Drosophila melanogaster: one gene and its partner. The protein of the gene in region 1 purifies or fractionates together with the protein of each later gene. This does not show direct contact. Each region holds a gene or a part of one and is shown in the gene's direction. Other genes may lie near its edges. The genes, in order: fs(1)K10 and Pur-alpha.

What was found.
Region 2: the proteins of fs(1)K10 (region 1) and Pur-alpha purify together in Drosophila melanogaster (affinity purification with mass spectrometry, with the first as the bait; one large-scale study listed by BioGRID). This does not show direct contact.

The regions. Positions count from the first base shown.
Region 1 is NC_004354.4:2,240,096-2,246,634, forward strand, and holds fs(1)K10 (female sterile (1) K10), read left to right. Parts: upstream 1-2,042; 5' UTR 2,043-2,213; coding exon 2,214-3,509; intron 3,510-4,361; coding exon 4,362-4,457; 3' UTR 4,458-5,946; downstream 5,947-6,539. Other genes in the region: kz (kurz), read right to left, coding at 1-1,411, 1,473-1,664, 1,733-1,807; Or2a (odorant receptor 2a), read left to right, coding at 6,136-6,539. UniProt on the Drosophila melanogaster protein: May be involved in localization of sqd to the oocyte during oogenesis.
Region 2 is NC_004353.4:556,192-561,218, forward strand, and holds the start of Pur-alpha (Purine-rich binding protein-alpha), read left to right. Parts: upstream 1-1,824; 5' UTR 1,825-1,977; intron 1,978-2,031; exon of another isoform or gene 2,032-2,109; intron 2,110-3,472; exon of another isoform or gene 3,473-3,702; intron 3,703-3,903; 5' UTR 3,904-4,066; coding exon 4,067-4,109; intron 4,110-4,157; coding exon 4,158-4,220; intron 4,221-4,279; coding exon 4,280-4,392; intron 4,393-4,526; coding exon 4,527-4,629; intron 4,630-5,027.

The DNA.
Region 1 (6,539 bases):
CCATTTGCGCCAAGAACTTTTTCTTAGATTTACGAATATTACGTATAACTCGTTTCATATCAAACTCCAGCTCCTTGGGATCCTCCACAGTCGATGCCGCATCATCTATTGTTTCCTCTTTTTCTTCCTCCGATACCTTTCCATTTTTAGCGACATCCTTGGTTGGCGCATGATGATACGGAAACGTACGTCGCAGCTTGCGCACCAGTTGGTTGACCTCCTGCTGTCCCGTCACAAAAATTAGTATGCCGCCTTCCGGAAGCTTATTATGGATTTTTAAGGTCTTGCGGTAAGCCTCCGCCACATAGTCATCAGGTGTGCGCTTCTGGAAGTGAATAGTCACCGGAAATTGTCGAGCCTCCACTTTAAGCAACGGTGGCGGAATCTTAAACAAGCGAGTATTCTCTGTAAAATCGGATACCCGCAAAGTGGCAGACATAATGATCAGCTTCAGCGGCTGCCCGCGTTTGTGACGCAAGGGCACGATCCTTGACAGGAGACCCACTAGGATGTCTGTGTAAACACTGCGCTCGTGCGCCTCGTCCAGGATGATCACTGAGTACTTACTAAGCAGAAAGTCAGTTTCGATCTCCTTAAGCAACACACCATCTGTCATGAATTTAATGCGCGTCGCTGGTGTTACGTTTCCCTCGAAGCGAATGAGGTATGACACCTCGCTCTCCGGCAGGTTCATCTCGTGGGCCACCCGCTTGGACATGGCAATAGCAGCCACTCGCCGCGGCTCCGTCACTCCAATCATCTTGTGCTGGGCATACCCCGCTTCGTACAGGAACTGCGGTAGCTGGGTAGTCTTTCCAGAGCCAGTCTCACCAGCCACGATCACAATGGGGTTTTCGTTGATTGTCTCCATCACCTGCTGCTCCTCCGCGAGGATAGGCAGTCGAAGACGGGCATTCTGAACTTCTGTTGTCCGATGTACGGGCACATAGACAGTCTGGTGGATACAGGCAGGTGGGTTAGGCTCTGGCTTCAACTTTTTAATGGGTGGTTTAACAGCGATTTGCGGTGGAGCTATAGACACTGGAGTGGGTATGGCAATAGGAGCGGATTGAGCTGGTGCCTCCTCATCGTCCTCATCAGAGGATGAAGAATCTTCGTCATCTTCCTCCACGCTAATTACATTCGGATTCTTTCGCTTGGCCTGTAGTTCCTCCTCCTCTTCGACGAGAAGCTTGCGCTTGGAGCCCTTTATAGCATTTACGCGGAGACCCGACGCCGAGCTTTTTTCAGCTAAAACTTGGGCCTGTCTTTCCTTTTTCTTGGCTAGATACTCGTCAAGGGTGGGTAGACGCTTTAATCCCACGGTTTGCACTTGGCTAATGGAAGTATACTGCTGCAGCTCCTCCTCCGGAATTTGAACGGCAGCAAGGTCACCCAACAGCTGAGCGCGCTAAATTAGAAAAGATTTCAATTAAATATCAGTTTTATATTAGCACTGAATAAAAACCTACACCCTCTTTCTTTTTCTTCTTGTCCACAATAGCCTGGAGGTGCTTGCGCTGCTTCTTGGAAAGGATCTTCACGTGTTGCACTTTGTCCACCTTAATCTTGGTGGCCCGCTTCTCGGAGGGCAGAACCAGAGCGTTGGCCTCATCGTAGCCAACCTGGTTGCCGCCGGCCACAGCATCCACATCGATCTGAATCTGTAGAGTATTGGATTTGGAAAGGGTAAGAAAGCGGATTCGAGTGTGTGGTCCGACGGATGACCTACCTTCTTCACGGCCGAGTTGTCCACAATTGTTTGTGGATTCTGCCGCGCCTTGGCATTGTGCACCTTCTTGCCCATGATTACTTTACTTTACCAATATAGTTAATAAAATAAAGTAACAGAATTAACTTTGGGCAATAATATAAACATTGATTTAAATCACACGTGCGAAGTACGCTTATCGATAACAGCGCAGGCGATAACAAAAGTTGAGATACTCTAAAATGTGCTGTGATGTTACATTTGTGTTAGTGGAAACATACATTAGTGGGAAAAACTGATTGTTATAGTTGTTCACACTCCTTCGACAGCACTGGTATCGAAACGTTATCGCAATCGATTCATCGTAATATTTTCAATATAAGTTTTTGTGACAAATAGGCGTGCAACATTTTAGATCCATCTGCTCCCCGCCTGTCGTTTCGGCTTGGCTCCTCTGCTCGAGTCCTGAACCCCCGTTTTCAGTGAAATCCAGCTACCTGCAATGGTGTCCAAGAACCAATTCTATCAGAACTGGACCATGCAGTCGCAGCAGCAGCACCCGCACCAAATGCAGCAACAGTTTCAGCAACAGCAGCAGCCAAATCTGCAGCACCGCAACAACCAGAGCAACAATAATAATTGCAACAATAATCCCCGCGCAGCTGCGGCTCCGTATAGAAAACCGTTTCGTTCGGGCAAAATTAACTCCGGACCAGGAGGAAATGGGAATGGTAACAGGGTCAACGGTAACAATCAGATGATGTTTTCCTCCAGCCAAATGCCGAGCGATCCCCTGTACATTGACTTCAGCAGCCCGCCACCAGGATTCAAACACAATCAGGTAGGCAGTCCCAAGAAGAAGTCTATGAAGGGCATCAAACAGCAGCAGCATCCCAGTCCGAACCAGCAGCAGCCTCCCAGTCCGAACCAGCAGCAGCATCCCAGTCCGAACCAGCAGCAGCATCCCAGTCCGAACCAGCAGCAGCATCCCAATTCGAACCAGCAGCAGCATCTCAGTCCGAACCAGCAGCAGGGCAAGATGAACAACCAGAACAACAATCATATGAACCAGTCGCAGCAGCCCTTCAACAATCAGATGAACGGAAGCGATTGGCAGCGCCATCCGGGCAACAATCCCAATCAGATTCGCGGTGGCTTTAATGGATTCCAACGCGGGCCGCCTCCGAACCGTCCTCCTCCACGCCTCATGATGGGTCCGCCAATGGGTCCGATGGGCCCCGGACCACGGGGACCCGGACCGATGGGCCCTGGAGGACCTTACCCGCAAATGCCTTTCCCGCCACCGGTGCCTGGTATGCGCGGTCCCGGACCCATGGGCCCCATGGGTGGACCACCACCGCCGCCGCCACCGCTCTTTATGCGTCGCAACGGACCCGGTCCAGGTCCTATGATGGGTGTCCCACCGCCCATGCACATGATGGGTCCACGGATGCCGCCGCGGGGAATTCCACCGGTCGGACCTTATGGACCAATGAACATGAATGGCGGCCGGATAATGAAGCCCAATCCCAAGCTAATCAAGCAGGTGGTGAAAGGCAAGAGCAGCATAAAGACACTAAAGAACCTGATCAATCAGTATCCCATCGAAAAGCCCTGGGTAACGGACGAGATACGCAGCGAGCACGACAAGAAGGTGGACATCGAGAACAGATTGAAGGGCCACAAAGACGACGAGCTCTTCGCTCAGTACAAGGGCCAGCGGGACAAGTTCGTTAGTCTCTACGAAGCGGCGCGGGAAGAGTATCTCAAGCAGGAGGCAGCCACTGTCAAGGCCAAGGTGAGCATATAGAGACCCCCCAACATATCCTTATTCCCTTGGAACAGGTGTCCCATCCGAAGCTCTATTCAGGGAGGCACACCGATTCCGGGTACAGTTTCGGCTTAATCCGGAATCACTTTGCACCCCTGATTTGATCCGTAACCCCCACCCGTCCCTCTTTGTTGCGTTTGCCGGGCGGTAGGAAAAAAATAAGAGAGCAGAGAAAGTGAAAAAGTAAGTCTCAACCTGATGCACTCTCTCGCATTATCCTGCAGTCCTGCGGAAGGTTGTTGTCATATCTATTTTCACCTTCGGTTGTTCCCTTGGCACTGATATATATCCGCAAAAGAGAAACTATTGGCATATATTTACAACCATAGATTTATTAGGAACTGAACAAAATTGTGTAACTATTTAGAACTGCAATACAATGTGTTTACTGCCACCTTGTATACAAATTTAAAAAACTAATAGAATTTTGTACTGTTCGATCGTGGCAGGCGTAGTAGATTCATAAATGCACTCTTAGTAACTTAATATTCTTAATTGAACGAGCCTCAGTACTGAATCCTATGGCTGTTTTCATTTTCCAATTTGGTTGGCATGTGAAAAGCGAACTTAATGAATTTTAAACTGCCAGAACATCAATTTAGTTACTTAATTAGCAGATATAACCCAACTTATGAAACTCATTGCATATGAAATGATAATGATTTGAGTGATTAATGTTCGTGGGCGTAGTTATCTGGAAATAGCCAAGAGAAGTTCGCAGAATGCATTTAATAGCGAAAACAGATCTGAGAGCTCTTTTTACACACTCAACAACCTTGCTATTGAACACCGTTGGCAATTCTCGTATTTCTTTTGCAGGATGCCAAGTCAGACAAAGACAAAAACGCAATTTCAAGTCAGAGCGCAGCCCCTAAGGCCGGAAGCGCTAAAGATGCAACAATTCCAAATCCCTAGGCAGCCAATGCAACCGAATCCGAATACCGAATCAATCGAATCGAACCGACTAAAGAAGAGGTCGGTCGACTCACAGAACTAAATGTAAACTTAAACTTTAAACCAATGAGCAATTCAAAACTAAAACTAACAGCGAGCAACAGCAAGAGTCTGACAATTGAAGACGAATATAACTCAAAACCCCGACTCCTATATCGGATATACGTATACACAATCGTAATCCGAGGAGGCGCCGCCTTTGTCACACGTTGCTTTTGCGACTGAGAACTGAGCTTAGAACGATAATGTAGCAACAAATACAAACCCAGCGATAATAATGTGGGCGAAACTCTAGTAATAGCGATAAAAATTTAGATTGCGAATCGATTCACTTGTCTAACGTAACCTAGCGTAACGTAAAGTAGAGTATTGAAATGTAACCGTAACGTAACGTAACGTACCAGTTTCCTATTCGAAAACTATTTGTTGTTCAATTCTAAGTTGCAGCCATTTCAAGTATGTGTACACAATTTATGACACGCCCTTACCTATATATGTATGCATATATATTGATATATATATATATATAAATTATTTTCCTATTCGTTGCCCGAGTGCGTGGGCGCGACATAATTGAAACAGAGTGGCCGGATCCTAAGCACTCTGGCATAAATCACACTGTAGGCCTTAGATTACACCACTTGATTGTATTTTTAAATTAATTCTTAAAAACTACAAATTAAGATCACTCTGTGAACGTGTGCTCGATGGTGTGCATCTACGGATTTGTTTTTGTGTTCTTTTTCCCCACCCAACCCCGTCCCTGACCCAATTCCGCTGTTCTCTTTACCGACTTGTAGATTAATCACGCTCTTGATCTTCATGACCGGATCCACCTGACAAGTAACGCCAAAGCAGCCCCACTTAGCGGAATAGTAGAGCCTAGGGGACCCAACGTAAAAACTCTAGTATAGCACCAATCTCCCAACCAGTTAACATTATACCTAAACCCATGGTCAAGAGTAAACATTTCTGCCTTTGAAGTTGAGAACACAATTAAGCATCCCCTGGTTAAACCTGACATTCATACTTGTTAATAGCGCCATAAACATAGCACCAATTTCGAAGAAATCAGTTAAAAGCAATTAGCAATTAGCAATTAGCAATAACTCTGCTGACTTCAAAACGAGAAGAGTTACAAGTATTTGTAAGGCACAGTTTATAGACCACCGACGGCTCGTTAGGGCTCGTCATGTAACTAAGCGCGGTGAAACCCAATTGAACATATAGTGGAATTATTATTATCAATGGGGAATATTTAACCCTCAGGTAGCAAAGTAATTTAATTGCAAATAGAGAGTCCTAAGACTAAATAATATATTTAAAAATCTGGCCCTTTGACCTTGCTTGTCAGGTGCATTTGGGTTCAATCGTAAGTTGCTTCTATATAAACACTTTCCCCATCCCCGCAATAATGAAGAATACCGCAGAATAAAGAGAGATTTGCAACAAAAAATAAAGGCATTGCGAAAACTTTTTATGGGGGATCATTACACTCGGGCCTACGGTTACAATTCCCAGCCACTTAAGCGACAAGTTTGGCCAACAATCCATCTAATAGCTAATAGCGCAATCACTGGTAATCGCAAGAGTATATAGGCAATAGAACCCATGGATTTGCCCAAAGGTAACCGAGACAATGGAGAAGCAAGAGGATTTCAAACTGAACACCCACAGTGCTGTGTACTACCACTGGCGCGTTTGGGAGCTCACTGGCCTGATGCGTCCTCCGGGCGTTTCAAGCCTGCTTTACGTGGTATACTCCATTACGGTCAACTTGGTGGTCACCGTGCTGTTTCCCTTGAGCTTGCTGGCCAGGCTGCTGTTCACCACCAACATGGCCGGATTGTGCGAGAACCTGACCATAACTATTACCGATATTGTGGCCAATTTGAAGTTTGCGAATGTGTACATGGTGAGGAAGCAGCTCCATGAGATTCGCTCTCTCCTAAGGCTCATGGACGCTAGAGCCCGGCTGGTGGGCGATCCCGAGGAGATTTCTGCCTTGAGGAAGGAAGTGAATATCGCACAGGGCACTTTCCG
Region 2 (5,027 bases), on another chromosome or scaffold:
CCCACCAGAACAATGCCGAATCGACTACACACATACATACACACGAAGAATTGAAAGATTCTGAGGTTTTGTCATTTTAAAAAAATTAATGGTTCGAAGAAAAACCGGTGAAGATTAACTTCAGCCACAAAAATTATTAACAAATTTTGATTAGTTCTTTAAACTGTAAATTTCTGTCGCGTGTTTTGTCTGCAACGACACGTTTTTTAAATCCTATTTGTTTTCTGTCACACAGGTCGGTATTTTAAACATTAGTTGTAACCATTATGAAAAACTACGCTACTTCAGCGGGAAAGCGGCTATACATATGTAAATATACGAGTATATCCAGATTTTACCCTGTCTAAATCCCTCAAGTTAAACAGAAATTTCCCTTGGCGAGGAAAAAATCGGACTGACAACACCTTCAATTTCACGTTTAGATATTACGTTCTGCGACGTAAAATTGAGTAAAGCACTCTTATTTGCGGAGTGTTTGTCTTTTAGCTCCTAATATTTCAGTTAACAGAATATTGGCGTTCAAAAATAACATGTGGAAGCAGTTTTGAAAATCGCTGGGGCTATCAAGGCAGACCAAAAATTTTTATTTTTCGGACTAATTTTACATAACTTTTTCTTAGAAACTCCCTGTTCACGAAAGGAAAGAAAACAATATAGCAGCACTATCCTCAAGAATCTAGGATTCTACAGGTACGCACATGATTAAAGCTTGGAAGGGATTAGTCATTTTTGAGCCCGATAAGGCGGAGTTCCGACTACAAGGGCATTGTGATATATTTTAAAATAAGTCAAAATATACACAAATACGAATACGAATTAAAAGCATTGACAGGGTGTATTGTACATTTGCGCACATACATCTATAAGTGTATGTATCAATTTATTTTTACTTATACTATTCTTTATACTCTAGTCTGTGCTGTCCCGACAATTTGGATTCGGATTTACGGATACGAAATACAGTCCCGATACCAAAATAAAAGATAAAAGACTAGTCGCTACTCTTCTCGTTTTTTCACATCCATATATACACATCTATGTACATATCTGCTTTACATATGTATTTCTGTGGGTTCACAGAGATGCTGTTTCTGTTTTCGCTTTCCAAAGTGGATGTGGCAGATGGCAGCGAGAGGAACGGAGAATGACCATAAACGAGGAGAGAACTGAGAGACGACCAACAAAAATAAGTTTGCGTGTATTTGTATTTATGTAGAAAATGTGTGAGTATATAGGTGGTCATATACTCACGTTTCGCTCGACGGTTTAGGCACAGGATAAGTACGGGGGAAATCGCGAACACAGTACGTAACAGTTACATTTCCATCGAAGTAGCAATTGAAGCACTGCTCCTTAACTAGCGTTCGCAGTATGATGCACATTTTGCATAATTTCAATTTCGAATGTACATGCAGACATATGTATGTGCACACATGTCGTGTATGAATACACACACACCCGAAGAACAGTAGTATGCCGCAGAATTTATTAATTTGCCTCACAGCACCGTTGCACGTTTAGTCGTTAATTTAAATTCGCGATGTATCGGAATCAAAACAGAATTCTGGATGAGATTTATTATAATTTTCCACTTTCTGCTGCTCATGCACGACGAACCACAAACAGCAACCAACACCAATAACGCCGCAAATAGAAAGACTAGGAAAAAGGAGCTTTGCTGACTTATTTGCAGTTTATCGGAGCTTTTTCGGTCAGACGACGCGTTGGATGGGTTACGTTGTCTTTCGTTACGTGCTCGCAACGGAGCTCCGAGAAATTCCCTAACGCGTTCTGCCGGATTCTACACGTACATAGATCGAGCGTTCCTTTTGGATGGCTAGTCAAATCAAATCAAACTAGGCCATTTTACTCAATCTACACATAAACATTGACTGTACAACATGCTCAAGCTTTCGCTGTGACTCAAAAACACTCCAAAACTCGGATTTGCATCAGTCTTCCTACAAAGGCGTTAAGGTATTTCAGCTCTTTTGGGCTCCATTCCCCTCCGTTCTGAACCTACGAATTTTCAGTTTTATCCGACGAACAAATAAAATAAGGGAGTGTCGATGTCATTTGTAAGGGGCAGTGCGTGTGTGTGTAGATGTTGTACGTTTTTTATAATTTTTTTCTTCCTGGACTTAAGTTTAAGAACTTAAGTGCTAGAGTAAAAATACCCAGTGTTGCAGTAGGAAACAGTATAAAGCTCCTCCATTTATTTGCAGTTGGCTCTAGCACTCCTTTCATGAGCACTTACATATATTTTTAAGTGTGCATTGCTAATATGTGTACTTTTGGAAGCTCCATTTAAAAAGTTCCCACCTTTCGTATTTGGTGCACATTTTCCCAATTTATTACATAAACTGTTTTATGACAATGTTGAATTCAAGTTTGAGTTCCCGTATTCGCTCGTATTAGATGAATATGTATACAAAAATCAGCTTGCTAAGTTCAAATTGTGTGTGTAAAATGGTTTTACCCGTAGTGGCATACATACATACATACATATGTACACATGCAAAAACCTTGAAACTGTTTTCTTGGGTAGTCGAATCAATTCAACGAATGCGATGGTGAACAGCTGATACATGTCAAACACGTACTCATGCAATGTAAACATCTAATTCCTGTACTTAACGGGATATTAGTTTGTTTATACAAATTTATGAATTCCTGGACTGGTAGTTCACTCAATTGACAGGGAATTACACATAATTTATTGCCAGATAAATATAATGCCTTGGAAAAATTATTTATTTATGTATGTACAAGAACGTTATAAGCAGTTTGGAAAAAAGTAGACATGTTCAAAGTGTATGTATGTGCATATATGTGTGTACATATATATATAAATATGTACATAATATATATATTTATATATGCATTTACATTTATATGTACGTTACGTCCTATGACTTTACTTATGTACATATGTCTATACGGATTCTTCTTATTGTTTAAATTAATACCGTTTGGTAAAAAGAAATTTCAAACTAAAAGTGAATAAAATCTTTTCAAAATAAGTAAAGAAAAATTACATCAATATACATTTTAATGCTAAAGGTCATTGAACATTTTACAAGCTTTATGAATTTTAATAAATTTTAATGTAAAAAGTAAAAATTAATTCATGCCATCCTGAACAAGAATATATACATACATATTTACATGTATATTTGTAACTCTTTAGATAGATCTTGGCGTCACAGCATGATTAAACAAAAACAACTAACGAGGTATTAACTTCTGACGATTGAACAAAAACGAATATACAAAAATTCTGATTTGTACTTTTATAACGAAAAATTATTTTATATTCAACTAGGAAACTATAATATCTGAAGTATACTCGACACCATTTATCAATATATTTCGCTGGCCTTTCATGCAAGTGTTCCGAGAAAGCACGTAGAATATTAAAAAAAATATATTATGCTGTGATCGTTTTGGGAACGCGGCTTACAATTTTAAAATAGTATAGTATTTTCACTTTCACCGCTTCTCTTCCGAACGATATACACATGTAATGGTCTTGGATGCAAGCCCTTAAGTTTTTGCATCTGCATATGCATTTCATCATGTACATACATATATAGTTGTCGCCTTTGGACACTATCTTGCTGCGCAACGTCACTACGAGGACTTTCGTCCACTGTGATATGTTTTGGCAGGATATATGTATGTATATTAACATACAATATGGTAGGTACTATAGGTAAGATTGTTAGGTCGGTATATTTTTATTCTATGTAGCCAAAATTAGATCCTACGAAATTTACTCATATGATTTAGGTATTAAAGGAAGTTAGTAAACAAAAACGAATTTACAGAAAAAAAAACAAACACAGCTGCTGTGCTGCTACTCTACGATATTAATCATAATTATCTATATTATATTTAAAGCAGGGGAATGTTGTACACCGGACAAAAAGAATGGTTATACTATTAACTATATGCTGTCGTGTTGAGGCACAAGAGTAGTGTAACATTAAAAGTGTGTCGCTGAAAAGGAAGGAAGCGTAACTATCTACCAAGCTTCGAGATTTTATAAATAGGTGGTCTCGTAATGTCCGATTTGGGAAGTGGAGATGATGGCATCTCAGGATCAAGTAAGTGAGCCGCATATTAATAAATATATAACAACTTCCATATTTTAGAATATAATGTTGCAAATATGGAGGGTTCCTCAAGTAGGAACGACTTCGATTCTTCTGCTAAAGGTAAAAATGCCACATGTATAATTTATACTATCTGAACACGTCACATTCTTTCGCGTCAGGAGGAAGCGGCGTCGAACAGGAATTGGCTACGAAAATGTTGCAAATACAATCTAAACGATTTTATTTGGATGTAAAACAAAATAGAAGAGGCCGTTTTATAAAGGTTGCTGAGGTAAATCATCTGATTAGAATTTTGTTATCACTTCTATTTTATAAAGAAAAGCTTTTGTTTGATTTGTATAACAGCACCTTTTGATAAAATTCACAACCATGGAACGTTATGTATAACAGCTTTAAAAATTTCAGATTGGCGCTGATGGTAGACGAAGTCAAATTTACTTGGCTCTTTCAACTGCAGCCGAATTTCGTGACCATTTATCCTCATTTAGCGATTACTACGCTTCTCTAGGTATATACAGTCCCATTGTAAAATGTTTATTTTTATCAATATTATTTTAAATACGAAAACTTTACAGCTCAAAGAAGCTGGGTTCGGAAAAAATATAATTTTTGAAATTTGAAAGCTGGAATCGTTTGCCCATTTTTTGCCCAATTAGTTTTTTTTGCCCACGTCCAGTTTTTGAGATAAGAATTTTCGAAAAAGTTCGAAAATGTTCGAAAATCAAACATTTCGCTTTTTTCAATTTTTTTTTTTAATTGCAACAACATCGTTTGCCCACCCTTTAGAATTTTGAAAAAATGTATACTTTAGAAAATATAAGGCTTTAAAGTTTACCTCGGTCTAATCAGAGAGTAAATCGTTTGCCCATCTCTTAAAACCAAATATAATCAACAAAAAACGTTTGC